Astyanax mexicanus: one gene and its partners. The protein of the gene in region 1 purifies or fractionates together with the protein of each later gene. This does not show direct contact. Links are inferred from orthologs where the notes say so. Each region holds a gene or a part of one and is shown in the gene's direction. Other genes may lie near its edges.

The links.
Region 2: the proteins of skp2 (region 1) and dusp1 purify together in Homo sapiens (affinity purification with western blotting; 3 studies listed by BioGRID and IntAct, with this or other methods). This does not show direct contact. The link is inferred for Astyanax mexicanus from reciprocal best matches to the Homo sapiens genes SKP2 and DUSP1.
Region 3: the proteins of skp2 (region 1) and fbxw2 purify together in Homo sapiens (affinity purification with western blotting; 4 studies listed by BioGRID). This does not show direct contact. The link is inferred for Astyanax mexicanus from reciprocal best matches to the Homo sapiens genes SKP2 and FBXW2.
Region 4: the proteins of skp2 (region 1) and e2f1 purify together in Homo sapiens (affinity purification with western blotting; 6 studies listed by BioGRID). This does not show direct contact. The link is inferred for Astyanax mexicanus from reciprocal best matches to the Homo sapiens genes SKP2 and E2F1.

Annotation. Positions count from the first base shown.
Region 1 is NC_064424.1:6,373,187-6,380,468, reverse strand, and holds the start of skp2 (S-phase kinase-associated protein 2), read left to right. Parts: upstream 1-4,280; 5' UTR 4,281-4,335; coding exon 4,336-4,436; intron 4,437-6,730; coding exon 6,731-6,954; intron 6,955-7,242; coding exon 7,243-7,282. Other genes in the region: G-protein coupled receptor-associated protein LMBRD2B, read right to left, coding at 398-510, 607-780. UniProt on the Homo sapiens protein: Substrate recognition component of a SCF (SKP1-CUL1-F-box protein) E3 ubiquitin-protein ligase complex which mediates the ubiquitination and subsequent proteasomal degradation of target proteins involved in cell cycle progression, signal transduction and transcription.
Region 2 is NC_064417.1:131,384-139,116, forward strand, and holds the start of dusp1 (dual specificity protein phosphatase 1), read left to right. Parts: upstream 1-4,724; 5' UTR 4,725-4,922; coding exon 4,923-5,322; intron 5,323-5,939; coding exon 5,940-6,088; intron 6,089-6,194; coding exon 6,195-6,414; intron 6,415-7,186; coding exon 7,187-7,542; 3' UTR 7,543-7,733. UniProt on the Homo sapiens protein: Dual specificity phosphatase that dephosphorylates MAP kinase MAPK1/ERK2 on both 'Thr-183' and 'Tyr-185', regulating its activity during the meiotic cell cycle.
Region 3 is NC_064408.1:17,947,503-17,955,424, forward strand, and holds the start of fbxw2 (F-box/WD repeat-containing protein 2), read left to right. Parts: upstream 1-4,906; 5' UTR 4,907-5,436; intron 5,437-7,922. UniProt on the Homo sapiens protein: Substrate-recognition component of the SCF (SKP1-CUL1-F-box protein)-type E3 ubiquitin ligase complex.
Region 4 is NC_064420.1:14,793,065-14,800,372, reverse strand, and holds the start of e2f1 (transcription factor E2F1), read left to right. Parts: upstream 1-4,296; 5' UTR 4,297-5,800; coding exon 5,801-6,049; intron 6,050-7,308. Other genes in the region: znf341 (zinc finger protein 341), read right to left, coding at 3,103-3,133. UniProt on the Homo sapiens protein: Transcription activator that binds DNA cooperatively with DP proteins through the E2 recognition site, 5'-TTTC[CG]CGC-3' found in the promoter region of a number of genes whose products are involved in cell cycle regulation or in DNA replication.

The DNA of each region.
Region 1 (7,282 bases):
AGAACATGATGCCAAGAAGCATGAAAACTGTGATTTTAAACCAGGGTTATTTCACCAAATATTGATTTCTAAACTCTTACAACTTTATGAATATGAACTTGTTTTCTTTGCATTATTTGAGGTCTGAAAGCTCTGCATCTTTTTTGTTATTTCAGCCATTTCTCATTTTCTGCAAATAAATGCTCTAAATGACATTTTTTTTATTTCTAATTTGGGAGACGTGATGTCCGTAGTTTATAGAATAAAAAGTTGTCTCTTATTTTCTCTCAGAGCTGTATATATAGAAACAAACAAAGGACACACTAATGTACCTGTAATAAAGACAGTAGCTATTCCTAGTCTATTATTCATGAGCCTCTTTACAGCACAATAGAAATAACACAGAAAGTAGACCAACCTAGCAGTGGGCGTGACAGTCGCATTTCCTGTTGTCTGGTTGGAGATTCCTGGGCCCACAGATGGTGACTGAGCATGTTCCTCATGATCAATCACGCACTGTTTGTATATTGTCTGGAATACATATTAAACACAAATATGAATTAAGCTGCAATGCATTTAAAAATCATAGAATAATTATGTAATTTCCAAATATCAGACTAAACGAACCGTGCTGACGTCCAGCGGGAGAATGAAGACAATGAGAAAGCACAAATACCAGGCCAGCAGTGTGCCAAAGAGCACCATGCGCTGCTGCTTTTTGAAGTCTCCATAACGATGCAGCAGGAACAAAGCCAGGAAAAAGACCACGACTATCTCTATTCCCAGCGCAGCTCCACTCATTCTCCCCTGCTGCAGTCCTCCAGACTAATGAAAACTGTGCAGAACAGGCAGAGAGGAAAAAACATGTTAGACAGAATAAGAATAGCAAGACACTAAAGACTCTAAAACACTATTACATGGAGCAAGAGCTAAGCACAGCAAAGGCCTTCCACAAACTAATTACAATTAGAATACAAAACACCGGCCTCAGACAAAAGCTAGTGTCCCCTTTACCAATCTGAAAGACCTTTTTGTTTTTATTCACTAGAGCAAGATTACAAGAAGAAATCAAATTATTCTGAATCGTGGGTCAGACACAGAGTTTCATATTATTATTTTGTATCTATACTTGATTTTCTGATTCTTTCATTTTTGCATTTAGTAACACATTTGGTTGGATTATGGGATCATATTTCTGTTATTTCTGTTTTACACTTCTGCGTGCGCATATTAGTGGCTCTGTGTCGCTCTGCAGTTTAAACTGCAAAGGAGGGAATGTGTGGATGGTAGTCCTGGGTGAGATTCATGCTTAATTTTGATTATTCGAATTACAGTTTTAATGCGTTTTTCAAAACGGAGTAATCACGAATTTACATACAGATATTTTATCTTTTTAATCTGAAATATCCAAAACTGTTACTTATTTGTTTAGTGCTTATCTGTCTTACTTTGTGACTCCCACAGACTAACAAATGCATAATTTTTTAAAGTTCCAGCACTTTCAACACAAACACCCGGTGGAAAAAAGCACATATTTAGCTAGAAATAAATCTGTTTCTAAAAACTGCAGCATCATAGCTCACCTTATTTTTTTACAGGTAAACCTAGTTTTGAACCATTTCTTTGTTTATTTGTAGTTTGATTTTTAGAAGGATGGAGAAAACCGGTTTCTAGACGAAAATTGGATTTTTTGTTAAAAAAAATGGAAGATTTTTATTAGGCCATAATTGTCCAGCACTAGTGGGAGGGGACGCGAGGCCCGGCAGACCAATCGCAGCTCCGGCTGTCCAACTCTGATAGAAGGGCTTCACTTTTATCAGAGGCACACTGCTCAGCTCAATCTGCTCTAACTTCGGCCCCGCCCCTAAACCCATACATCACCTAGTGCCCCTCCCACACTACCCCTCCCTTTCTTTTAGAATATTTCAAACTTGAGCTGAGGGAGGAGGGGGTTGGGGCCGTAAAATCAAAATATTAGCTTCAACATAGAAGCACAAACATCAACATTAAACACCAACAATTCAGTTTAACTTCTAAACTAATGGTTTGTATATATAACCTTTTATTGACTCTAATATTTATTAATATACTGATCATATTACCAATAATAAGCGACTTGTCAGACTGTGTGTTTACGCGCATCCGCCGTTGCTGCTAGCTTTAACTACAGCTCTGCTAGGTTAGCTAACAACAAACCCAGCACAGCTAACAGTTACCGTCCGTTAGAAGCTAAACCCCGATATACAGGCTTTTCCTACCTGTCTAACGCGCTGAAAGATACACAGACCGCTCACAGAGCCGCTGTTCTCCACTTCCACACCGCCAATACTGAAAACTGCCCACTAAATAAAGCTGTTCGAGCTACAGCCATTACTCTGCCTGCCCCAAAATCACACACACATCCCCCGGCCACAGCTGCTTTACCCCGAGACCGCCCACTCACCGCCTCCGCCGCTAAAGCAGAAAACCACTGTACACCGCCAGGGAGAGCCCGAGAAAGAGACTAAAATGAATAGGGTGAATAGAGCTTTTTAGTATATTTTATGTAGTTTGCTTTTAAAACATAAAGCACAACCAATACAATATTGAAAAGGTGAAAACAAGGAAATATGCAAGTGAACAAAAGGAAAAAAATATATAATATGACATACAGTATAATATAATTATACATATAGTGGTAATATAATTAATACAAATATAAATAAACCTAGTTACATTACATTACATTACATTTGGCAGACGCTTTTGTAGTGAAGAACAGAAATAGTAGAAGGTAAAACAACTTAATATAAGGCCTAAAGGAGGTCAAAGGGGAATAATGGGATAGAGGAGTGAAGGAGGGGAAGAAGGAAATGAGGTTAGAAGTTGTTAGTTTGTTAGAGGTGTTAAGAGGGTAAGTGCTCTTTGAAGAGAGCTGTCTTCAGGAGTTTATTAAAGATAGTGAGAGATTCTCCTGATCTGGTAGTAGAAGGTAGTTTGTTAGAGGTGTTAAGAGAGTAAGTGCTCTTCGAAGAGCTCTGTCTTCAGGAGTTTATTAAAGATAGTGAGAGATTCGCCTGATCTGGTAGTGGAAGGTAGTTTGTTCCACCATTGGGGAACTCTGTATGAGAACAGTCTGGATTGCTTTGTGTGAATGTTTGTTTGGTAAAGCTAGGCGACGTTCATTGGAGGAGCGCAGCAGCCGGGAGGTAGCGTAAGCCTTTAGGAGTGATCAGTGCAGGTAGGAAGGAGCCTGTTCTGTCATCACCTTGTAGGCGATTGTAAGAGCTTTAAAAACCTAGTGTAAAACTAACAAAAAATATATATAGTCAAAGATAAAATTCAAAAAATATTTTTCTTTTTTTTTTGCAATTCTTTATTTTTCCAGTGTGTGCTAAAAAATAAAAGTGCTCTATCATAAAAAAGTCGCTCCACAATTAGAAGTACATGTACTAAAATAATAAAAATGTTTTGTATTTACGTACAGCAAGTATTTATTCTAAAATGTACTACTTAAGTACTGAAAGTAGAAGTACAATATTGTGTCATGTACTAGCTAACTACTACTTCCAGAGCAGAGCGTCTGAGTGGGAATTCTCTTTTCTATTAGAGATTATTTTCACCCAGCGACCAGAACAACTCTAGGGAAGCAAGCGGGACGGCATTCGGCATCTTCACGCATGCGCACTGATAGTGTCGCTTTGTATGCAACATACACGGCTGGATGTGGGCTACGATGACTTGGAGATCAGCAAATATGAAAATTCAGTGAATTAAATTTAATTATTTGGATTAATAGAATGAATTAAATCTATCTACAGCACTAGTAAAATATTTGGACACCCATTCTTATTAATATTTGTTCTTTATTTTTATTATTTTCTACATTGTAGATTAATATGAAAGACTTAAAATTATTATTATTTATAATTTGTAGTTTATTCGTGGTTTGAACACCCATTCCTTCAAGACGCTGATTTACTTAGCCATAATATTTTAGACATAAACATAAAATGTAGACATAAAATTTCAAAACTATTCTTATGAAGACACAGATTAAAATACCAAGAGTTTGCAGATCCGTCCTCAAAGATAAACGTGCTTCTTAGATGTTTCCTGTATAGCGTTAATATTGTCTTCAATATTAAATTTACAATGTAAAAAAAAGATAAAAATAAACAAAACACATTGAATCTACCTGTCTGTCTGTCTACTTGTCTGTCTGTTCAGTCAGCCCTGGTCTGAGTGAGTCAGTGTAATATTTCTCCGGTCCAGCAGGGCGGCGACAGTCTGTGCGCTGCTCCGCTCTGAGCTCAGTCTGGGTGGCGGTGGAGCTGCGCGTTTAAACGGTGGCGGCTGCAGACAGAGAGCACAGCAATGCAGAGATCAGTACTGAGCAGCAGATCTGAGAGATTTACTGCGGAAACACATATAAAACAATTTAAACACGGACTAGAGAGTGAGATGGCAGTGGATAGGTGAGTATAGCACTGTTTATGGACTGCAGAAGTGCCTGGTTGTGGAATAACTTATATTAATACTGGGTTAGTAGATAGAGTAGTTTTAGTGTTTGGTTATAATGTAGATAACCCCTTAATAATTCATACTAACTAGTTATCTAACTCTTTAGTGTAGTGTCTTTCGTAGCCAATTAAATATGTATCCAGCAATGTGATCAGTAAGTTAGTTAACTGTACAAGTTATCTAGAAAACGTATCTAATACAAGTACTAACAGTTAACTAAGCTAAGCTAGCTAAACTTATAACTTACACATGAGCTTCAGTAATGCTCTGTTTAGCTAGTTAGGTTAAATCCTGTGTGTTTAAAACAATATTTGCTCTAGATAACATATTATTGTCCTATCCTAACTATTACAAAGCTTTATATATCTCTAAAGCTAAGTTATATAAGTTATTTAGCTTAAAAGTTAAATAGAGGGAACTGAGCTGACTGCTAGCTATTATGGCTAAGCTAACCTAGCTTTAGCTCCCTCCTTTCCAGCACTTCTGGCGCGCCTTGGCTTTTAAAGGCTTTAAACTTAAAAATAAGAAAAATATTATTCGTTTAACTATCGTATCATGTCTGTATATAAAAATGTTAATCGTTATGATACTTATTTCTGTGATTTTCTATCATTTTGAGCTCTTTTTTGGTGTTCTATTGTTGAGATGGCGCGATCAGAGGGAGCCAAACTGTAGTTCTGGCGGGCACCAAAACAACTCTGAAAAAAGTTTCAAACTCCGCCTAATTTTCACTTTAAAGCTCAATAAATTAAGGCATATATGTTTTATAGTATATTTGACACTTGTTTTTTGTTACATGTATGTTTTATAGCTTGATAGCTGTTTTAATTTAGGTTATTTATATGTTTAATGTGCGTTATTGCTTGACAAACAACTACACTGAGCACAGTTGGCTGCTCAGTGTCGTTAATGTTAGCTTAAATAAATGATTTGGGCTGCAAGAGTTGATTAACATAATCGATATTGTTGATTATTAATGACTTTACCTAACAAATTTCAGTGTGGACTAATCGTTAACTAGATAGAAACCTGTGGACAGAAACCCACAGTAGGGGGAGGGTTTCAGGGCTACTCACTCACTAAGTTCACACTTAGCCTGGGCACCAAAACTGATAACAGATTACATAATTAAAGGTCAGGGCAATATGGCGATATTATCATATTATAAAATCTTAATATCCTATTGATTATGCTTAAAACATATAAATAAAATTCAGTGCCTAAAAATAATGATACAACTGTTCATTTCAATAAAAAATTAGGTAATGCTTTTTGACCCTTTCAGATTCTGCAGCCATTACAATATACATCATGTATTTTCTTTATTTTTAAACGTTTTATTGCACATAACACTATTTGATAGCTATCAGAATAGACTGTGAACCTTGAATGGCAAATGAACAAGTTACTAAAAGACAACTTACTAATCTAATGTGAGTTGGAAAGCGTTTTAATTGTTTTTTTTACTGTTTAGGAATTGGTTATGAAACGAAAAAAAAGATTTATATAAAATCTGTGCTAAATAGATTTTTTTTTCCATCACTGGAGATATTTCAGGTCTGAAAGTTTTTTTTTTTTGCAATTTTACAGCAGCTCAAAGAACAGAACAGAGGAAGTATAAGGACATATACATACAAACAATATATAAAATATCTATATATATATATATATATATGCAAGAAAATGAATATAAAGGAAGATACAAGATATTTAAAAAAGTATTATTATATAAAAATACAATTTTGTTAAATTGGAAAATTAAACATTTTATTTTTTAATAAATCAATAACTTGGTCTGCTTTCAGTCTCAGACGCTCTTGGTTCTGGTCTTAATTCGGACTTGGTTCTAGCTTTCTTAATTACAACACTATTGGCACAGTTAATGATGACATACAGTAGGACACAGGCGGTAGCTTTTATATTGTTTATATTGATAGTGGAATTATATTGCATTGGCCAAAATTCAGAAATACCTTTTGGCAATATCGCCCAGCCCTAATATTTACTAACTAAATACGAGAAGATTTTACATTTTCCACTGTCTTCTGGGCATTTATTTACAAGGCCTGTAAGTCCCACTTTTGCACTTTCTATCATTTTTGAAGCAATTTTGAAAGAGCCATACACACAGGAAGCAGAGTTTGGAGGGCATGATATAAACAAAATATAGATTTAAAAATATTTTCTCATGCTTATTAATTAATTACTGTTTAGCTATTGACTCTTAACAAACCACCCTGATTTGCAGGCCGCTTCAAGAGCTTCCATGTCTGAATGAGAATTTGGAGGGATCCCTGCTGTGCATGTCTCAGACGAAAAAGAAGCAAAGGCTGCGCTACGGTGAAGAAAACACCCCGCATGAATTCATCCAGCACCTTTCACCCCCTCGCAAACAGCCTCGGCTCTGCGGCAAGGGCAAGGAGAACGCTTTTGTGTTGGCCAGACGTCCTCGAAAGAGCAGGGAATCAACAGGTATTGATATTGTGTTATATACCTTTATATCCAATGTTATTACATGTGTGCTTAGTCAATAATCATTTGAGGGAGATCTCCCTGCTGGTATTTTAACACTGATTTACAGTTAAATGTATACACAACTTTAGAACCAAGTGTAACATTTATTTTTCTTTTACTTTAGCTTTCAACTAACTGTATGCTAACAAAAAGTTATATTCTTTTTTTACATTTATTAAACTATAGATACTATACATTTCCTTAAAAACTCAGTCTGTTCACAAACATACTTTCTCCCTCCTGCAGCCGGTCTATCCTGGGACAGTCTCCCAGATGAGCTCCTGCT
Region 2 (7,733 bases), on another chromosome or scaffold:
TCAAGATCAACATCTTTTCTCACAGTGATACTAAAACCAACACCAGTGGAGACATACAGAGATACAAATCATACATTAAATTATAGTAGTGTGTGTGTATATATACTCTATATATAAGAGGTAACAACCGCACACTTCACATTGCTTAATGTAAAGTGATGTCATGCTCTGTTGTGAAACCTGGAAATTGCTGAAATGCAGAAATAGAAACTGAACATAAGTCAGCAGCAGAACAGACTGGAGGATATACCCTGTAGTTTCCCAGGACGCACAGCACTTACCCAGACACACTTCTGTCAGTAAATGAATGGTAATGACAGGGGTATAGCCTTGCTGGAATAGTATATATAGGAAACCTCCTGCATATATACCCTTCTTTCAGTTCCCTTTCACACCGAGAGTAAAGAGTAAACAGAAATACGGTGGGAACTCTGAGATTATCGGTTTAGAGTGACTCACTGAAGCTCAGACTCGTCTGATTATTGGAAGTGAAGCGTCACATGTAGCGGTATTTTATATGTCACTGTTTCGCTCTTACGTTTGCTGTTTTGTCACCGTTCTGTACGTTTCTTTAATCAGCGCTGATAGTTAAATCCTTAAATTCATCCCCTCTTACTCTCTGATCTTCTTAGCGATAAATAAAGGTGAAAATGGAACATTTCTTGCGTTGATGTTTTCATTAATCCCTTTTACCTAAAATCCTACTCTTACAGTGAGTTTTGTTAATGAATGTATTTCTGTTACTGTGCCTTTAAGACAAATTATATGTAAATTAACTCCACTCTAAAGAGCTTTCCTGTATTTTCACTCATTCCTTAAGCACTCAAAGATGTACCACTCTTTATAACTTCAGTGTGAGTGGGCGTGGCTAAACTGCTGTAGGCTAAATAGGTTGAGATGTTTAAACTCATTGTTTTTGTAACTTTATTAAATCATTAAAATCACAATGTGTTGCTTTTTTTAGAGCTTAGTTTTCATATAAACACATGTAAAATTCAAACATGTTTCTATTAAACGCAAAACTATTAAAATAATTGAATGTACAATATTTTGTGAATGCGTGTCGATTCATCGATACTGTCCTAATTTAGCATTTCACTAAATACTAAAGAATCTCATGTTTCTTAATCCACCCCCTCCTCTATTTAAAGTCAGCTCGGGTACAGTACAGTGTGTTTTCTGATCACCCTAAACACACACACTCAACAAAAATGAGTAACGCTCCATTTCGCAGTTTAGATTCCAGGACTGAATCATGGCGGTGGGGTTCGGACAGTGAAGTCCAGATCAGTGGGCAGATGTTGCTGCATCTCCAGCCGTTGCCAAGTTCCCGTCTCTTGTTACTGGTGTTTCTTCCTCTGTTATGGTCACACAGGCCTCGAGCAGAACTCCAGCGGTCCAGCTTCCTGACTCAGGCGCCAAAAACGCAGCCCTGACGTCAGTAACTGTACCGACGCTGTCCTACTTTCAGTTCAGTGTACAGCTCTGAGTCTGTGAAGCAGGAAATGTGGTAAACATTTCAGGGCAGCGTATGGGCTGGAAACATCGAGATATGTTTAGATGTACACAGAGTTTAACTAAGTGTAAGAGCTGGATTACGCTGGATTAATATAAACTCCAGGAATTCCTGAGATATTTCTAGATATAACAGCTGGAATATGTGCAGTGCTGAAGTATCTGGACCAGTGTAATAAGTAGCACTTGTTCTTGTAATAAAAAAATAAACAAATAACAGGTTAAGATGTTATGGCTCATAATATTTGATACTGTGTGTTTTCCCCTTAGTACATCTAAACAAGCAAACATACAGTGTTTTTAAATCTGTGTGGACTGCACTCCCCAGTAGACCACAGTGATAGTGTCTGAGGTCCAAAATGTAGTTGTTGTTGTTTTTCCTGTAAAAATCATTCTAATATAAACAGTAATATTTCTGCAAACATAATTCAACATGTGCCAGATTTTATGTATTTACAAAAATATATGTATATAATGTTCTCAGTGATTTGTTTGGTGTAGCATAGCAACATAACAAACAATGCTGTGTGGTGGATTAGAAACCGAGTTCTGTTGATGTTATTGCGAGTATCAGGTTTCACTCTTTTATCCATAATGGTAAATAAATAAAAACAGAAGAAACGAGCTCAGGCCATGAGACTACCTCCACCATGCTTTACTGATAAGCCAGTATGTTTTGGATCATGAGCAAATCCATTCTTCTTACAAACTTTGAATCTTTGTGGCAAGTCTCTGTATATTTTCTGGTCTCCTGATTGGTGCTGCTGATGATAGGGTTGTATCTTGTGGTGCTTGATCTATATCTCTGTTATTGATTGGCTCTTTAATGGATGATTGATTGGGGTCAGGCCGGCCCTGCAGAAGTGGTGGAAAATGTCACTGCTGTTGTTTTTGTGTTTTTGGTTGGTTTTCGGCACAAATCTCTCAGTGTTTCTCTCATCTCAGCTTCAAATCCTGCTTGTCTTTTCCGACTGACTCTTTTCTTTATGTTGTTTTATTATTTTTAGCAACAAACAAAGAGTCATTTGGCAACAGATTAAAAGCAACAGCTTTTCTTTAAACATACTTTTTTCTGTTTCTGCAAATAAACGTTTCAAACACAGTTTTTTCAGGAGACCAGTAAACAATCAGAGTTCTGTTTTCAGTACGCATATCTCTATTAGAATATGTAATGTTTAATCACAATTAAACTACAGGCCTATTTTAAACTTTTAAAAATATAATTCTTGTGTCTTGATGCAGCTTTACATGCTCTTTACATTCTCTCAAAAAGTTCCACTGAGATCTTACTGGCTGCTAAAACTACTTCAATTATGAAAATACATAAACTCTTTATATTCACATTTTAATAAAAAAAAACTATATACAGTCAGGTGTGTCCAAACTTTTAATTGGTACGGTGTGTTATGTAACTCAGAAAGTTATAACCCAAAGCAACTTTTAACCCACATCTTCAACCACATCCATGACAAAATACCCGCTGTTGTTATGTGCGCTGACAGGATACACAACAACACAGAGCTGAGGCGTGAGTGCAGTGTTTGGGGAAACACTAATATAGTGATTAAACCTGTCAGACTGCATTTCCTGTTTAAACTGCAGTAGATCTGCTGTACGACTCATTTAACTCAGCTTTTCTGTTTCTCCTGAAGCCCAGAACAGGTTTCTCACTGTAAACAAATAAACAGGCTGTGTTCCCGCGCAGAACCGGCGTCGTGTTTTTCAGCTGATGGAAATTTACCAGACCTCCAGTTTCTATACAGTGATTAACTTTTATGGTTGGCCTTTGCTCTCGCCGCATTGCACACTGCATAGTCCTGTACAATAAAAACAAAGTATAAACTTTTATGAGCGCAGCGACAGGTATTCACTAATTATCTTGTTATTCGTTAGAACTCATCAAAGAAGGAGAGCAAAGACCAAATCCACAAACGATCACATCATGGAAAAATTTACTAAATTCCTCGACTGACACTGACCTGCTGCCAGAAGAGAAAATACTTCATTAAAAATAATTCATAGGTTTTATGATTTTTTAGGTAAAACAAAGTTATAAAGGTTAAACAAAGTTATTCTGATCATTTTATAGGTTACTGAGAAAAAATGAAGACAAAATGTACAAATACTGTTTATAAACAACAATGAAGATAAGTATTCTTAATAAGTTATATAGTTATAGTAGTGGAGGTGGTACAAATGCTATTGGTAGTACTGTTTGTAGTACTAGTACTAGTTTGGAATGCAGGAGTAGTATTGGTGATAGTAGAACAGTAGTATTGGTGGTAGTAGTAATAGTGATCATCCAGATAGTATTAGCTAATAGCAGTGATAGTAGTAATGGTATAAATAACATGGGTATTACATAGTTGTAGTAGAAATAGTGGTGAAACTAGCACTAGTACTGGTAGTAGTAGCAGGGCTAGTAGTACCAGTTATAGTTTTGTAGTAGTTTTGATTGCTGGGCTAGTTTTGGGACAGGTGTAATAGTGTTGAGGAGTGAGGTGTAGAGAAGTGAGGTGTTAAGGAGTGAGGTGTTAACGAGTGAGGTGTTAACAAGTGAGGAGTGAGATTTACAGGAGTGAGGTGTTGAGGAGTGAGGTGTTAGGTGTGAAGGGTGAGATGTAAAGGAGTAAGGTGTTAAAGAGTGAGATGTACAGGAGTGAGGTGTACAGGAGTGAGGTGTTGAGTGAGATGTAAAGGAGTGAGGTGTGAGGTGTACAGGAGTGAGGTGTACAGGTGTCAGGTGTGAGGAGTGAGGTATGATGAGTGAGATGTAAAGGAGTGAGGTGTAAAGGAGTGAGGTGTTGAGGGGTGATATGTTGGGGAGTGATATGTTGAGGAGTGAGGTGTACAGGAGTGAGGAGTGAGATATGATAAGTGAGGTGTAAAGGAGTGATATGTTGAGGAGTGAGGTGTGAGGAGTGATATGTTGAGGAGTGAAGTGTGAGGAGTGATATGTTGAGGAGGGAGGTGTGAGGAGTGATATGTTGAGGAGTGATATGTTGAGGAGTGAGGTGTGAGGAGTGATATGTTGAGGAGTGAGGTGTTTGAGAGTGAGGTGTGAGCGGCTGTTGTAAGGGTTTGGTTGGTCGCCCTTCGCTCTGCTGCTCGTGACGTACGTGCGAGTTCACGCTGGCAGTCCGCCAGACTGGGCGGGGCCGTGGCGTCACCGCGCTGCTGCTCTCAGAGCGCGAGGGGTATAAAAGAGCTCCGGGAGCAACCACGGGCAGAACGACACACGGAAAAGAGGATCACCGGGCTTCAGTTTGAGGAAACAACGCGTGAATTTCCGAGAGATTTTTTTTTATCACCTCAAACGGAGCCGTGTTTTGTGAATAAGCCTCTGTGCTGTGAGTGTAACCCTCCGCGGGCCGCTGTTCTGTGAGTGGACTGTGCGGCGCTACTTTATGTACCTGGACTTCGCGCTCTGCCCTACTATGGTCATTATGGAGGTTCCCAGTATCGACTGTTCCGCGCTCCGGGCGCTGCTGGACGGGGACGAGCCCGGCTGCCTGGTGCTGGACTGCCGCTCGTTCTTCTCCTTTAGCTCGTCTCACATCCCCGGATCCACCAACGTCCGCTTCAGCACCATCGTGCGGCGGCGGGCGCGCGGCGGGCTCGGGCTGGAGCACATTGTGCCGAACGAGGACACGCGGAGCGGGCTTCTGTCCGGTCGGATCCGCACGGTGGTGCTGCTGGACGAGCGGAGCTCGGATCTCGGCCAGGCGAAGAAGGACGGGACGCTGATGCTGGCAGTGACCGCGCTGTGCCGGAACCCGTGCGGGGCGGAAATCGTGTTTCTGAAAGGTACAAACTCTAAACCTGCGGCTAAACAGGGTTAGCTTAGCCTAGCCTAGCTACACTGAAGCTAACCGGTAATAAGCTACGCAGATCGTTAGCTTACTTTAGCTGGTTAGCTAATGCTAGCTTGTTAGCTAATGTGAGAGCGGTAAAACAGCCTAAAACCATGTTTATTACCTAAACTAAGTTTTTAAACTTCGAATAAATATTTTTATGTACTATTAGTTTTAAATTAACTCTAACCAGGTAGTATAAAAGTCTATTTAGTTTAGTTAGAGTAACGTTAAAGCTGTATGCTCACAAAACCACAAACCCGAAATTAAACCCAACAAAAGAAGTAAGAGCTGAGGTTTCCCCGCTAACTAAACAAGACTGAGCGCGAATTTTACTATTACCTCATTTATAAAGTGAGATACACATCCTTATATTGGAAAATGGTTAACTAAATAAACATTAGATGTAGTTAATTTTATGTAGACGGAACTGAGTAAACCTGGCCGTGCTTTACAGCCTGTGGTTATTTGTGTTTCTGTAGGGAAACTCCGCTCAGCTGTTCACTACAGATCACACTTAAACTAAACTGTGTAATTAAGCCAATTTTTCAATTTTCTCTCTGTTTTTAGGTGGATTTGAAACATTTGTCTCAGAGTTTCCTGAAATGTGTACCAAACCAGTTCCCCCGCAGGGTCTCAGTCTGCCTCTGAGCGATAGCTGCCAGTCTGATACCACTGAATCCGGCTGTAATACCTGCGCTACCCCTCTGTATGATCAGGTAAGAGCTGAGAAAACATGCCTTAGTAACTTTCTCATTTATTACACTTATTTAGTTTTTATTTTTGCCTTTATTCACAGTCCTAAATCCACTGTTTTGATTTCAGGGTGGCCCTGTGGAAATCCTACCCTTCCTGTATCTTGGCAGCGCCTACCACGCCTCACGAAAAGACATGCTGGACATGTTGGGCATCACAGCTCTCATAAACGTATCTGCCAACTGTCCAAACCATTTCGAGGAACATTATCAGTACAAGAGCATTCCTGTTGAAGACAACCACAAAGCTGACATCAGCTCCTGGTTCAACGAGGCCATTGAATTTATCGGTGAGAATAAGAAAAAATATAAAAGCTTTATATCCACTCTTTGATTCCCAGTTACAAAACGAAAACAGATGCAGCTATAGGAAAGCTTTGGTGAGCAGACTTCCCCTCCCCCTCCACAAGTGTGGCCTGAATTAAAATTTTCAAAAGTTCCCTCCAAATCAACCAGCTGGATGGGTTAAGCTTGACAGCTACAATGGCTTACATCATCCCCTCTCATCCCATTTAAAGAGGCGCCCCCTTTTCATGGAAAGCAGCAGGCCATGACCTGATCTGCTTTTTAGGGAGCAACTGGCTCTTTGTTCTGTCCAAACAAAAGGGGTTTTTCTCTGGCTCTCCACCGGCCTTCCTCCCCAGATCAATGCTCCCAGCAGGCGGGGCAGCCGCCCCCTATTGTGTATTCAGACCTGCTACTGAGAGAGTGCTGCCCCATCACCCACCCCCAGCTCTCATCTAACTTCTTCCTGTTTCCCTGGTCAGACTGCTCCCTTCCGTAGTGCTTCTGGTGGATTTGTTATTTGCAGTTAAAGTGGAGGGAGGCAACTCTAAAAGGGAAAGGAATTCCTTTAGCAATTTAAAGGTTGAAGCTAATTTTCCCCACCAGAAATCTGATGACCGAAATAAGAGGAATTTAGGAAACAAAAACAGATCTTATTATTTTAGCTTTTTGAATCTAGCTTTTGTGATGTAAACCCGAACACATTAGATGCTCTGTGTTGAATTAGAGCCATTCTGTGTAGATTTAAACTAACGTCCTCTTCTTTTTTCCTCACAGACTCAGTTCGGAACAAAGGCGGCCGGGTGTTCGTCCACTGTCAGGCTGGTATCTCGCGGTCTGCCACCATCTGCCTGGCCTACCTAATGCGCACTAACCGGGTCAAGCTGGATGAAGCTTTTGAGTTCGTTAAGCAGCGGCGCAGCATCATCTCCCCCAACTTCAGCTTCATGGGTCAGCTGCTGCAGTTTGAGTCGCAGGTGCTGGCGTCCTCCACGTGTTCCTCAGAAGCAGGGAGCCCGGCGCTCAGCAAGAGCAGCACCGTCTTCAATTTCCCCGTCTCCATCCCCGTCCACGCTGCCGCCAGTCCACTGTCCTTCCTGCACAGCCCCATTACTCCCTCCCCCACTTGCTGACTGGTCACCAGCATTTCTGTTGGACCCGTTGCCTTCTGACTAAATTGAACTTTTGTGGTTCAGATGATCACTGTGGTGATCTTTACAGTGCTGGACAACTACAAACCTGTGTTTGTTTGTTTGTTTGTTTGTTTGTTTGTTGCTACATAACAGTATTTGCACACCTTTCTAGGGAGCAGTAGGTGGCAGGT
Region 3 (7,922 bases), on another chromosome or scaffold:
GTGGGGGTCGTTTGTGGAAAGACTCTGCTCAGCCTCTCATCTGCATAGTTAAGGCAAAAAAACAAAGGTCAAGACTACCACCTTAATTCCTGCATCTTCTGAAGAACTGCTGAAGTGGGAGGTTTTTCATATTTTCTGTAGAAAATCCATTGAAATCCATGAATTGAAAACATTTCCTTTGAAGGATGGAGAGAAACACCCACATGAGAGATGTTTGCTTTCCACGACTGCAGTCCACGTGTATAAAATTCTGTATACTACTGAAAAACAGTGGACATGGACCTGGCCTGGCCTGGTGTGGCTTTGATTTCGATCCACGAATCAAGAGAAAGACACTGAGAAACAACACACCTCCATAAAGCCTTCAAACAATCTGTCAACCTGAAAAAGGACAGCTTGCTGCAGTATCATACTGTATTATAAATATAAATATATACGCCATCAAACAACAGCCTCTCCCTACAGATATGTTAGGTGATAACTGTGATACTGGAGCATTGGGTAATGGACAGTAAACTGTAATGGTACTGAAACTTGTAAATGATTGAAACATCTAAGGATGTGAAAAAGTGCAGTTGTACTATATTTCCTTTCAAATATGCAGAAAAGCATCCAGTATTTATTTGTCTTATTTATATGATCGGTTTGAGCTGTTTTAAGACATTTTGTTTGCACAAAGATGATGTATCACTGATATATTTTTAAGTGTAAAATGCAATGGTCTCGTGATCCTGTCCTGATCATTTTGGCTCATGTGACCCATGTGTTTTGAGTTTATTTAACACTGGTGTGTCAAATCAGATCCCTTTCTGCAGTCTTGCTTTTTGTTTTTCCAGCTTGAACTAATGCACCTCTTCAGAAGTGTTCCTTGTACTACAGTACAGTATTGGCCTATAAAGCCTGACTGCACAGCATGAAATTCTGAAGTATCCTGAAGTATTGTATGCTCGATTTGAAATGTCCTGTTAACACACCAGACAATGATTTGATTCCCATTATTATTGGTGCTTATACCTCACATTACATTTGTATGCACTCTATGCTTGTCTTTTTAAGCCGGTATTGGGTATGGATTTGTAAAGAAAAAAAAAATGAAAGTATTTTCCAGTAGCCTGTAACACACCATCAAACTTCTGCTCTCAGTAGGTAAATGACTTGGATTTCTAAAAAACATATGTATTGCTATCACATTCACCTAATCAGTACAATATAGTGCATAGAATCACATTGCACCTTATGTTGTGATATGTGTTAACTGAGGTTCCTGAATAAAACATCCTGGCTTCAAACACAGCTCTCTGGGTCTGTTACAGTGAAAGACATGGTACAAAGTTAAAAAACATGCAGTTATTTAACGTCAAAATCTTTGCTACTATACTGATCTGAGGAACAATGACAAGTAAACAGACAAGCAAGCGGCAAACAATCAGTGCAGCAGACCTCACCTCACATACATATCCCATAGATCAGTGCAGCTTACTCTAGCATTCATGGCATATAGCAAAAAGCAAGGGACCCAATACTAATATTCACATAATGTGTAATGTCAGTGTATATAAAATATATTTTATCTATCTAAAAAAATGTAAAAATAAATAAATAATAATAATAATAAATAAATATTATTATTTAAATAATATTTAAATAACAATATTTATTATTAAATAAATATTATTATTTATAATAATAAATAATAATATTAAGGTCCTTAAAAGAACAAATCTAAAAGGCTTTACTGAAAAAAAACTGATATAATTGTAACAGAGTTCTAGCCGCACCCAGTAATGGGTAGTGTATATTTTTTGGATTTTATTCAGTGTTCCTGTACTGAGAGTTCCCCCTCTTCTCATGGGTATGGTTAATAATAATAATAATAATAATAATAGACTAAAATATGGTTCTCACCATTACAAAAACATGAAAAATATTAAAGTGAAAACTGTAAAAAAATATCAATAATATTCAACAGTAAATTTGCATATCTTCACAGATCTGGGATTGTGGGTTCGATTGTCAGTCTGGCCTTTTCTTTAAGGAATAAGCTTATCCACATTGTGACACATGGGTTTCCTCCCACCTTCTTAAAACACTCAGTTTGTATTTGAGCTGCTAAATTGTCCCAAGATGTGAATAAATGGGTGTGTGCATTTAATGAACTGGCCAAAGTGGAGTCCAAACCAGAACCCAGTACATATCGAGCCTAAGTCAAGAGCACGACTTTTACTAGTCGAGTCTAAGTCAAAGACCAAAATTAAAAGACCAGATGAAACATTGTCAAGAGGAAGATGGATGAGCAAAAGCCATCTAACCAAGCTGAACTGCTTGAATTTTTGCACCAGGAGTGGCATAAAGTTAAAACTTTGCATTGTTTTCTTTGCATTATTTGAGGTCTGAAAGTTCTATATCATTTTTGTTATTTTGGCCATTTCTCATTTTCTGCAAATAAATGCTCTAAATGACAATATTTTTATTTCGAATTTGGGAGAAACATTGTCTGTAGTTTATAAAATAAAACAACAATGTTCGTTTTTATTTAGACATATACCTATAAATAGCAAAATCAGAGAAACTGATTCAGAAACTGAAGTGGTATGTATATATATAAATGCAGTGGCGACTACACTTCTACTTTCTGAAACAGTTCTTTAAACAGGCCCCTGATCTTTGCTGGTCTGCCTTACTATTTCAGATGTCTTCAGTCTGAGAAGACTTCACAGTCCCAGTGGGTTACTCCATCTGTGCTTCTTTCTGACAGTTTAATGGGGGTTATTGTCACAGGAAATTTCCACATACCTGCAGGTTCCTGTCATTCTCCATGAAGGTCACACAAATTGGATGTTCAGTGTGGGTGGTGTTAATATGGAAGAACATCCTTTATTCATATATTGTTCTAATCTAAAGTATTTACTGTATGTATTTCCATTCAGACTGACATTCTTTCCATGTATTATATTACATTCAATACTGTTAGAAGATATGGTATCCTGGAGTGGAACAATATGGAACAACATTACAGAAATAGTTAAGGAATATAACATATACTATATGGACACAAATAATGGAACACCTGCACATTCTTTGTTTCGTCCAAAATCAAGGTTATTGAACCGTTAAAGCAGTTTAACCTGCTTTTGTTGGAGTAACTGCCTCTACTCCTCAGGGAGGACTTCAGCCACAAGACCATCCCCAACATGACCGTCCCCAACTCATCCCGGGAGCACCATCATTCCAAACAACACAAAACCACTAAACTTGAATTCTGGTTCTCAGCTCCTGTTTCTGGTGGACCCTCAGCTCTGCGCTTTTTAGTGCTTTTCCTTGTCTCAGCACAACTAATGCAACTAATCAGTTAAAAAAACTCTTCTTGAGCTAGTGTGTGTGTGTGTGCTCCAGAAGCTGTGTATAATATAAGTATAATAGTGGTGGCTGGTATGTGAGCTCAGATAAACACCAGATAAGCTCTCTGTCGTCCTCTGGTGTTCATGCTGTGTGTTTGAGAAACAGCGCTTTTCTGAATTCTCTCGCGGGCTCCCTCTAGCGGACGTTACCCTTATGTGATTTTCTGATATAAACGGGGAGATATGAAGCGGACAAGCTCTCTGTAAACAGGCTCTTTCCCAGATTTAAAGCTTTTAACATTTGATGTTTTTTATCTGTACTGAAATGTGAAAAAAATAAATGTCAGTGTAAAAATGATCAAACATTTAGGAACTATGATTTTCACAGGAACCCCTTTATTTTATATTCTTGCACAGGCAGACATTCTAAAATGTGCACTCTATCATGTATTCTTACAGATCCCCTAATGTGACAGACATCATGCTAAAACAATTACGAGTGGCCTTGACTTATTACGATGAGATCCTAAGGCATGGTCACAACTTATTAAGGCATGGGAATAAGATCCTCATGCCTTGTAATGAGATAATTAAGGTGTGGAAACTAGGTAATTAAGGCCTGGCCATGACTTAATAAAGCATCGTAACATCTTAATTAACTTTTTTTTAACATGATGTTACTTTAGGGGCTCCGTACTTTGATTTATTATTCTGTTTTATCATGGGTTTTATTATTCTCTGGCTACGACTTAATTATCATGTTCCCATGCATTAGAATCTCGTTTCTACATCTTAATAAGTTGTGGACATGCATTAGGGTCTCATTCCCGCACCTTAATAAGTCATGGCCACGCATTAATTTTTTTTTTAACAAGATGTCAACTTAGCGGCTTCGTATTGGGTAGGTAGGTAGGCAGGCAGACAGACAGATAGATAGATATATCTATCTATCCCAGAGGGATATTTTGGACATCCAGTAGGAGGTATACATAGTACACAGAAGTTACAAAAAAATGATAAAATATAATGACACAGATATGACCAGTTGCTGTGCATATTGAGAAGATGACTGATGTCAGCCATACAGACAGTGCAAGAACTCAGTTATATCATAATTTAGCAAATTTGCAACGACGTAAACCGAGGACAATAAATAAACTAGTAGTGCAGAATAGTAAAGTAAAACAATAAAAACGCACCATCATAAGAGAAAGTGAACCAAAATAAGGTCAAATACGGCTGCAGACTACAGATCTTAATTTTAATTGCTCGTTCTGTAATGTATACCAAAAACCCTATTACATCTGTTTATAAGTAATATTATGTCATTAATCGAATTAGTTTCTTATATATTATGTATGTAATGTCTTGTTCTTTATTGAATTGTTTACGTGAAGTTTAATTCAATAATAATAAAAAAAAACGTCCAACATGGCACAAAACACAAATACAACCTCACCCTTACATCACCACTCAATTAGCTATTCCTCCATATAAACCCATTCATTTTTCTCTCGTACAGGAGCGCCCTCTGGTGGTCGGACATATACGGAAGGCGGTGTTAAGTGGGCAGTCTCCCGGCTACAGCTTCTGTGGCGGAACTTCCCGTCGCTGTTGTGGGTTAACGGGTTGTCTCCGGGTTCTTTAGCCGTTAGCTTTCCTCACTAACAGGCGCTGATTAAAACGCTCAGCTTGTGCTTCTTAAATCCAGACAGCGCTGAAAGCGTGGAGGAATGAGGTGTCTGTCTGTTCGCGCGCAGTTTATTAACTCTTATTTTTTTATTCGGTTAAATCTGTAGTTTATATTATTCAGTCTGGTTAGCCAGACGTCCAGGGAATGCAGAGCTCAGTTATTTAGGTTAGCTAGCTTTAGCTAACAGACTAGCCTGGCTTCTGCAGCACAACTGAGGAGCTAAGATACATTTTAAAGGTTTATTTTCTACCTGTTAAATATATATAATCTTATTAAATACATGTTTAGCTCGTAGGGCTCACTGTAACATTGGATTTGAGCTAGCTGGCTTGTTTGTTAAGGTGTTTCTCAAGCAGCTAGAAGCTAACTAGCATCCCCTCTAACCATCGGATTCTTCTGGAAATGGTGAGTGGCTTGTTGACTTTCTCACTGATATGGAAACGGAATACTAATAAAATGATAACACTGGGATATACGGTCCTTGTTGTGAGGCTATTTCAATTGTTTGGAGCTGCTGAACTGGTTTGTTTAGCTCTTGTATCGTTAGCTAACTAGGTTTAGCTTATCCATATGTCATATCACTGCTGTTCTGTAGCTATATTGACCAAGTAATATCTACTACACTGCTGGAGCTCCCCAAATGTTTATACCCTCTGTAGCTATATCTGTCTATTTTTCCTGTGGGTTATTTGATTGTATACATGTAGATAACTGTGTGTTTTAATCTATTGTATGCGTAAATTCCCTTTTTGATCAATAACATTTCTAGACAGCTGTATAACTAACTTACATCACTTGTCAAAAGTTTGGACACACCTATTTTCATTCAATGTGTTTTCTTCCTTTTTTATGATTTTCTACAATTGTAAATGTAATATATAAAACATATTAGACAGGAACACATGCAGAATTATTTAGCCACATTTAACTTTAATAACAGATTTGCACACTCTTGGTATTTTCAAATTAAAATAAATTTATTTGTATAGCGCCTTTTGCAACTGATGTTGTCACAAAACAGCTTTACAGGACAAATAATCAGACAAAACACTGAACGTACACCTGGAATAGTTTTCATAGTGTCTTAAAGGAATTCCTAGAGGTGCTGAGGTGTTCTTCCCGCTGTGAAGCTCCATCCCAAATCACCTCAAATCACCATCTCAGTGGATCAGGTTTAGATCAGGGGATTTTGGAGCGCAAACACTTTTTTTTGTTTACTACATAAATGTATGGGTCTCTCTTATTTTTTCTACAAGTCTACATTATTAGAAAAGGAAAGAAATAAAGCAGAACATTGATTTAGAAGGTGTGCCCAACCTTTTGACAGGTAATCAATTAATCAGTCATTGATAGATTGTTCTACAGACCCAAAAAAATAAATGTTGGGTATTTACGTTCAGTTTTACCCAAATCTTAAACTGAGCTTAGACATTCAGAGCTGTTTATTGTTTAAATAATCAATGTATTAGGACACACCTGGGAAACAGACTTACCTGACAGTCACCTATTACAATACTTTTGCTCACGAGGCAGATGAGTTTGTTCAGACAGTAAGTGCTATTTTCTGCGTTGTGTATCAGATCCAGATGTAAACACCTGGAAGTAAACGCTGAACTCAAATGACTCAAATTCAGTCGGGATTGGTCTCGCTGTTCCAATGCTTCTAAAGGGGACTGTATATATCTATCTAGCCAAGCTATTTAACTAGCTAACCTATGTGTTTTGGTTGCAGCTGTAACATTGTGTGGGCTAAGTGGCCAACATCTAAACATCTCTGTTTAAAACTAACTAACACTAACTAATCTAGTTAGTCTAGTTAAATTTTGACATGTGGTTAATTAGTTAGCTACCTATCAAACATTGGTTATTTGGTTTGTTGATCAGCAGGTTTCTTTAGTCAAATAACTGTCAAGTACAGGGGTTGGACAATGAAACTGAAACACCGGTCATTTTAGTGTGGGAGGTTTCATGGCTAAATTGGAGCAGCCTGGTGGCCAATCTTCATTGATTGCACATTGCACCAGTGAAAGCAGAGTGTGAAGGTTTAATTAGCAGGGTAAGAGCACAGTTTTGCTCCAAATATTGCAATGTACACAACATTATGGGTGCCATACCAGAGTTCAAAAGAGGACAAATTGTTGGTGCACGCTTGCTGCCGCATCTGTGACCAAGACAGCAAGTCTTTGTGATGTATCAAGAGCCATGGTATCCAGGGTAATGTCAGGACGAACCACATCAGACAGGATTAACTGTGGATGCAAGAGGAAGCTGTCTGAAAGGAATGTTTGGGTGCTAAACCGGATTGTATCTAGAAAACATAAAACCACAGCCGCCCAAATCACGGCAAAGGTTAATGTGAACCCCAACTCTCAACTGTCCGTCGGGATAATAAATTATTGTGGTCTTAAACCTGGTGTTTCAGTTTCATTGTCCAACCTCTATAGGTGCAAATACTGCAGTTGTTTTTCATGTTGTAACAGGTAGTAGAACAGCTGTAGTTAGCCTTGTCTGAAAGTAACCTACTCTTTTGCTGTGTAACTACTTTCCTAGTACCAATCTCATCCCCAACACACCGCAGCAGGTTTGTTTCTTTTCTACACAGAGCTTATTCTGTTGGCAGTACTGCTCTACAGGGCGGAGACAAGCTCTGTGTTTACATCTGTGTCAGCAATACTTGCAGTTTTCAGTAGCTAAAGGCATTCAATAAAAGGGGTGTCCATATAGACTCAAGTTAGGGTTTTAATGCTTTTTGATGTTTATTCAAAAATGTTAAATGTTTAATATATGTTTTTTTATTGTTGTTTTTAAATGCCATTTTCTTGTAGACAAAATACATTTAGAATATATAAATCAAAGGAGTAGCAAATTTTATTAGAGTTTGGTATTTTGGT
Region 4 (7,308 bases), on another chromosome or scaffold:
TTTCCATGGCAGAATATGATGCATGAAACTCCAGCAGAACGACATCCACATCGACTATTGTCACACTTGCCTGCACACTTACATATTGAGAGCAGACTTGGTGGTAAAGGCTTAAGACATTTTGATGGCAGGAGTGTGCCAAAGTGCTCCTTCCATCCATGGTCCGTTGGCTCTAGTCTTGCTTTGGTGTCCTTGGCTACTGTAAGCATGTTGCATGCCGTATGAACCAGAGAAGCCCCTTGTTGGATGTTTTCTCTGATCACACTACTTGTGAGAGGGAGAGCATCAATTCCAGTACTTCCATGTGTGTAGATTTCTACAAATGTCTTAGCTTTCATCAAATATCTTATCTGTTGTTGTTGATCTGTCCCCAGCCCAGACATGCACCAAGTGCTTCTCAGCCAAAGCTGCATCTTGCTCTGTCAAGGCCTGCATCTTGCTCTGCCTCTCCAAAGTTGGCTCAGTACTGGACTGGGTCAAAAGCTGTAGAAACAAGTTTAGTCTCCACCTTGCTCATACAGTCATCTCCAGTCAGGATATGAGCTTTAATCACTGTCTTTGAAAGTGATGCTCCAAGTCGAGAGACTGCTTAGAGAAAGTGTCTCATGTCCCGATCGTGATATGGTTTGCAGTCGAACCAGTGGCAATGCTACTGTATTTGTGAGCTCTGTTGTCTTTCATTATGAGGTGTTGCCAGCAAAGGCAGCTGGTGGGGACGAGATCCCAGACCTATTGAACAGGATTGAAGAAGCTGATGCCAGGTTGCTGGTGCATGTTGAGTGGGCTATTCTTGTGAAGCAGTGCAAAAGAGTTATCATAGTCTCCAATGACACAGACACCTTTGCATTGCTTCTCCGCTACAGCACATACTTCCCAGAACTTGGGATGAAGGAGATCTGGTGGCAGTATGGCAATGGTGAGAGGCTGCGAATGCTTCCACTCCATCAAGCAGTCTCTCGTTTCGGAGCATAACTGTCAAAGACAGTGATTAAAGCTCATATCCTGACTGGAGATGACTGTATGAGCAAGGTGGAGACTAAACATGCTTCTACAGCTTTTGACCCAGTACTGAGCCAACTTTGGAGAGGCAGAGCAAGATGCAGGCCTTGACAGAGCATGATGCAGCTTTGGCTGAGAAGCACTTGGTGCATGTCTGGGCTGGGGACAGATCAACAACAACAACAGATAAGATATTTGATAAAAGCTAAGACATTTGTAGAAATCTACACACATGGAAGTACTGGAATTGATGCTCTCACAAGTAGTGTGATCAGAGGCCACATCCAACGAGGGGCTTCTCTGGTTCATATGGCATGCAACTTGCTTACAGCCAAGGACACCAAAGCAAGACTAGAGCCAACAGACCATGAATGGAAGGAGCACTTTGGCACACTCCCGCCATCAAAATGTCTGAAGCCTTTACCACCAAGTCTGCTCTCAGTCTGTAAGTGTGCAGGCAAGTGTGACAATAGTCGATGTGGCTGTCGTTCTGCTGGAGTTTCATGCATCATATTCTGCCATGGAAAAATAGAAAAATCATTCTGTAAAAAACCCATCCCACTAATATGCATGCACGCATTCAGTACACTTAAGAATAGAAAAACGACCTTGATCATGACCTTTTAATGTCAAAATCACCCAATATGGTCATAACAATATCAGAAATAAGTTTCTCATACCATAATTAGTCTAAATTGAGGTATTATTTGTGTATATACATTCAGAAACAAAAAAGTTGGATTTTCATCATAGCCGATGGCAGCCATATTTGATTTGACCATTGCGGAATTCGTGGCACTATGGCGGACGAGCACCTCAGGGATTTTTCATGTCTAGGGACCCACTAACTCAGTTCAAGTGAGAAATTCCCCCAACACCAAATTGCGAACAGGTCTATAGGCCAGGTACAGGATTACTGGTCCTCACATTACGGCCCGTTGCTTGGTCATTTTCCGGCATGCAATAAATATGTTTGCAAACACTGAAAGTTGGTAATATCTAGACCTCGACCAATGTGATGATACTTAATTGAAACTATTATCGGCCAATACCGATATAATGCCAATATCACTGAGCATCCTTAATCTAGATGCCTGCTATTAGAATGTATTTCTACTATGCTATTAAGTTGTCTTGGCTTGTAAACAAAAGTGAAAATGACTCAACTTTATCTTAAAGTTATATTTGATTTTTTAACCTGCTAGGACGTGGTCTTTGTTGCCATTTTCTTTTAAAGAAATGTAATGTAATTGGCCATATCTCTACATAATACAATGAGGCATACAAGTCATAAAAAATATGTATGTGTGCAAAAATGTGTAAAGAAGGTTATGTGACTGTTTTAAAATGTTTTCTTTTTGAATAGCTTTAATACAAGTGTTTTTTTTATCAAACATTTGATATAACAACAGAGACTCCTAAGCTAATAATACATGCTATATAGAATTAACAGTTTTGTATTTTATCTGTCATTTAAACAAAAAAAACTAGAACATATAAGCAGAGTCATCACACTTTACTACTAGTTCTGTCTAAATCTGTTACAACAGATATGTCAGTCTGTTTGTAGCAGTTCACAAAGCTGTGGTTGGCTCCCTAATTCAAAATCCAGGTCCACCTTAAAAAATACATTAATACCGAACTGCCACCTGCACACGCCCCCGAGCAGAACAGCGGCAGCATTTAAGGTGGACCGCAGAATTTGACCATATAGCGCTGGGGAGGCTTTTCCCACAACTCGCCTTTCGCCCTCCGCCATCTTTCCTCCCTCAGTGCGTAGCTGTTGTTTCAGCGGCCCACCCTCCCTCTTCTACACGAATCTCAGCGCACACAAATAACAGTGAAAAACACCCGAACGAACCCAAAACACACTCCAAACACACACACATCCTGCAGACCCGTCCGCTTTAACAGGACCGAGCAGCTCCGCTTCACGCTTTTAACGGGTTTAAAGGGTTTAACTGAGCCACACGGAAGACACGAGAGAACCGGCTGCTTCTCAAAACTTCAGTTTTCAGAGCAGGAAATAGAAACAATTTAAAAGACAGCTGAACGTCTGTATTTCTTTGTAAAAAAAAATGAGTAAAAAATGCTTGTGTCTACCTTCTAGCACCTCAAATATCGCCTGCGACATGTTGAAGTCTTCAGCAGCCGGCGGAGCAGCGCTCTCTGTCTCTCTGAGGCGGAGGAGTGGGCGGGGCCTGTCAGCTGATTAATATTACACATTCTATTCATTTATATTTTAATATGATATACAGTAGCAGTCAAACATGTGGACACACCTCTTCTCGGGCAATGTGTTTTCTTTCTTTTTATGATTTTTATATTGTAAATGTAATACTGAAGACATCAAAAAGGAACACGTGGTATTATTTTAATAAGTGTTTTATACTATAAACTTAGTTCTTCTAAATAACACATTTAGATTTGAAGGAAGATCTGCACACTCTTGGTATTTTAAGTCTCCTGGAATAGTTTTCTTGAAGGAGTTCCTGGAGGTGCTGAACAATAGTTGCTTATATAATCATTTATAAATATTATAAATATGTATTCATTTAATATATATTTTATTTCTACATAATTGTCTTCTTTTTTAAATTTGCTTAAATTAAAAACTGTAGCAATATTAGACAAAGCCAAACAAAAGAAATACAAACATCAGTATCCACTAAAAATACTTCTTAGGCTATGCTTGGTAGTTGCAATTTGGGACTTTAAATAAAGACTTTGGTTGAAAGAGTATGAAAAATACCCATAAAAGAGAAAAAAAAGTTTTTTACATTTACTTTGACTTTTCTTTTTATTGCAGACAGTATGAACCCAAATGTTTTATATTTTCACCCATCAAATTCATTCCAACCCATAATGGACAGCATTAGTAGTAGCTAGTCTACCCTCAATATCTTTAGTCTTTATAATAGTTAATTATACTAATCATTCGTATACATGTGTGTCATATACATAGTAAATGTGAAATACTGTAATTATTAGAATATTATTATTTTATTACAGTATTACAATGCAATATAGTAATATAGGCAAATATGTAACAGACTGCTATGGGTTATAAGTATTTCAGAGCTCTTAATATTCTTAATATTCTCTGGTCAGCTGAGACAAATGTATTAGCCTGCTTCTAAAATATATGATACCTAACAAAGCCAGCTAGATACGTAGCTAGTTATTGGGCAAATTCTAATGAAAATGTTCCACATATAATAATTGTAATTATAAAATAAAGTCTTTGATAAATAAATATATTTTTTAAACTTGCTCATCGATTAAATTCCCATTGTTCTCTCCAGAAGTGCCTGTTTCTGAGTTACAGGCGCGGCTGCCAATCAGAGAGCAGAGGAACCGTGACGTGAAAATTGTTCTCGTCCAATAGTGTCGCCGCGATTCGGCACGTGCCAGTTTTCGCGGCAAAAAAGATTTGGCGCGTAAATAAGCTAGAGCCGATCAGCTGAGACAAAAACAACAATAACAAAAAGGGAGAAACAGCGGAGCAGATCGGTTCGGGGAGCGGACGGAGGCTCAGCGGCGGACCTGTGGGCACAAAGCGAGAGACTATCGGGGGTTTATTGTGGATGTTTTCGCCTGGAGAGCGCGGCCGACAGGACAGTTGGATTATTTAGCTAGTTTTTGGACGGAGGAGCTTCCTGGACGGGTTTGTTTTGTTTCTGGCAGAAAGAGAAACCAAGGGCCGCAGATATTTTAAACTTTTACACTGAAAAGCCTCGCCTTGGTCACCTATTAACTCATAATAGTAAAAAAACTCTTTAAAATGTTTAAATGTGTAGTTGCTTTAAAAAAAAGTTAATCTATAGTTTTTAGATGCATTTCTATCAGCCATCCAGCTTAATATAAAGCTGAACTTGACTGTTGCTGTAACAATATCGTATAGATCAGCTAACGTTCATATTAACTTAACTAGGTTAGTAGCTACAATAGGCACTAGTAACTTTGTATATTCATATTTTCTGACTTTCCCTATGTTTCCTATGCTATATTTATTATTGTCCACTATTACACTTTAATAGCTTCTAAATTAGCTTATAACCTAGCTTGTATAGTAACCTTCATATTTACATTTCCCACTTTATCACTTTAATAGCTTCTTAACTATAACTGTAGCTAATATAGCTAACTATAGTAATTTGTATTCGTATATATTTCCCCATTTCCCCACTTATAGCTTCTATATTTGCTAGCCAGTTAGCTTTGGGAGCAGAGTTGCAGCTGCTGGCCTTTCAGCTGTCTAGTCATAGGGGACCAAAACAAAGGGCTGCTAGCACTCAACACTGACAAATGCAGATTTTCTGACTTTTAGAGCTGTAATCCTACTTTAAAGTGTCAAAAACAGCCGTAATGATATTTCCTTACATTTGTAATCATATTAGGCAACTTTCACTCCTCTGCTTTTTGTCAAACTTTGTACTTTGGCTGTAAGAGCCTTGACCTAGTTATCTAAGTTAGCTAGTTAGCGTAGCTGTTTTGTTAGTTTAATGAATGAAAGCCTCTCATATTAATGCATTAACTTGCGTTAAATCCGCATATTAAACTTAAATATCTCTATAAGAAATATATACATATGTCAGCCTTAATATATGTAATTATAACAAGCCCTTATAAACATGGCTCCTCCAGCAGGACGGTATTCTGGCTGCCCTCAGTGTAATTTCACTCACAGCACACAGTTCAGGGCAGTCTCCTGAACTCTTTTCCACTGAAGGCCTGAATCAGAGGGTGTTTTCGGAAACACAGCCTCATTTAAAACGCGCACTCAGACAGACAGTCCAACATGTCAAAGACCTTCATATCAGGCCACACGTCCGAGGACCTCCTGGCCGACTTCGAGTCGCTGCTGAACAGCGGGAGCATCGACCTGAGCGCCGAGCACCAGATAGTGATCATCTCCACCCCCGGCGGTGTGGAACTTCACCCGGCTGCCACCCACTCCGCGGGCGGGGACATCCTGCTGTTCGCCACGCCGCAGACCACCCCGGCCCCCCTGGAAGAGATCCGCAGACCCGCGCTGGGACGACCACCGGTACTGACCATAAGCTAATCAATATCTGCAGAATTACTGATACTGACTGAAGTAGGTGTAACCGACAAGCAGCAGCAGCAGCAGTAGTAATGATATGGTATTAAAACAGTCTACTAGTCTTACAACTGCTAGAAATGCATCTGCCATCTGCAAATTACAACCACTGTGGTTACCAGTACTGCAACTGCTACTTATTTTACTGCCAAACAAGTACAACTGCTAATCCTACTGCTGCACCAGTACTACAACCACTGCTGCTATTACTAGTTCTTATACTACCAAACAAGTACAACTGCTAATCCTACTGCTGCACCAGTACTACAACCACTGCTGCTATTACTAGTTCTTATACTACCAAACAAGTACAACTGCTAATTCTACTGCTGAACTGGTACTAAACCTACTATTACCAGTATTAGTATATAATAACACAGTATTAGTATATAATAACACTTATTAGAGTTGATTTAACACTAACAGTGTTGATTTAACACTGCCAAATTTCCTGTGTACTAACTCTACTTCTGAACTTGTACTACAACAACTAACTCTACTGCTGAACTAGTACTACAACAACTAAATCTACTGCTGTACTAGTACAACAACTTCTAACTCTACTGCTGAACTAGTACTACAACTACTAACTCTACTGCTGAACTAGTACTACAACTACTAACTCTACTGCTGAACTAGTACTACAACTTCTAACTCTACTGCTGAACCAGTACTACAACTTCTAACTCTACTGCTGAACTAGTACTACAACTTCTAACTCTACTGCTGAACCAGTACTACAACTTCTAACTCTACTGCTGAACCAGTACTACAACTTCTAACTCTACTGCTGAACTAGTACTACAACTACTAACTCTACTGCTGAACTAGTACTACAACTTCGAACTCTACTGCTGAACTAGTACTACAACTACTAACTCTACTGCTGAACTAGTACTACAACTACTAACTCTACTGCTGAACTAGTACTACAACTTCTAACTCTACTGCTGAATTAGTACATTACTGTTCTTACTAGTTCATCTACTGCTAAACAAGTACAACTGTTAATTCTACTGCTTAACCAGTACCACAACTACTAACTTTACTGCTGAACCAGTACTAAAGTCAAGTCAAGTAGTTTTATTGTAAATACTGCATATGTAAAAGACATACAGAGAATTGGAATTACTTTCCTCTCCTTCTCAAAAGTTACAGAAAATAAGATTATGAATATAAAATAGTGAGATACACTATATGTACAT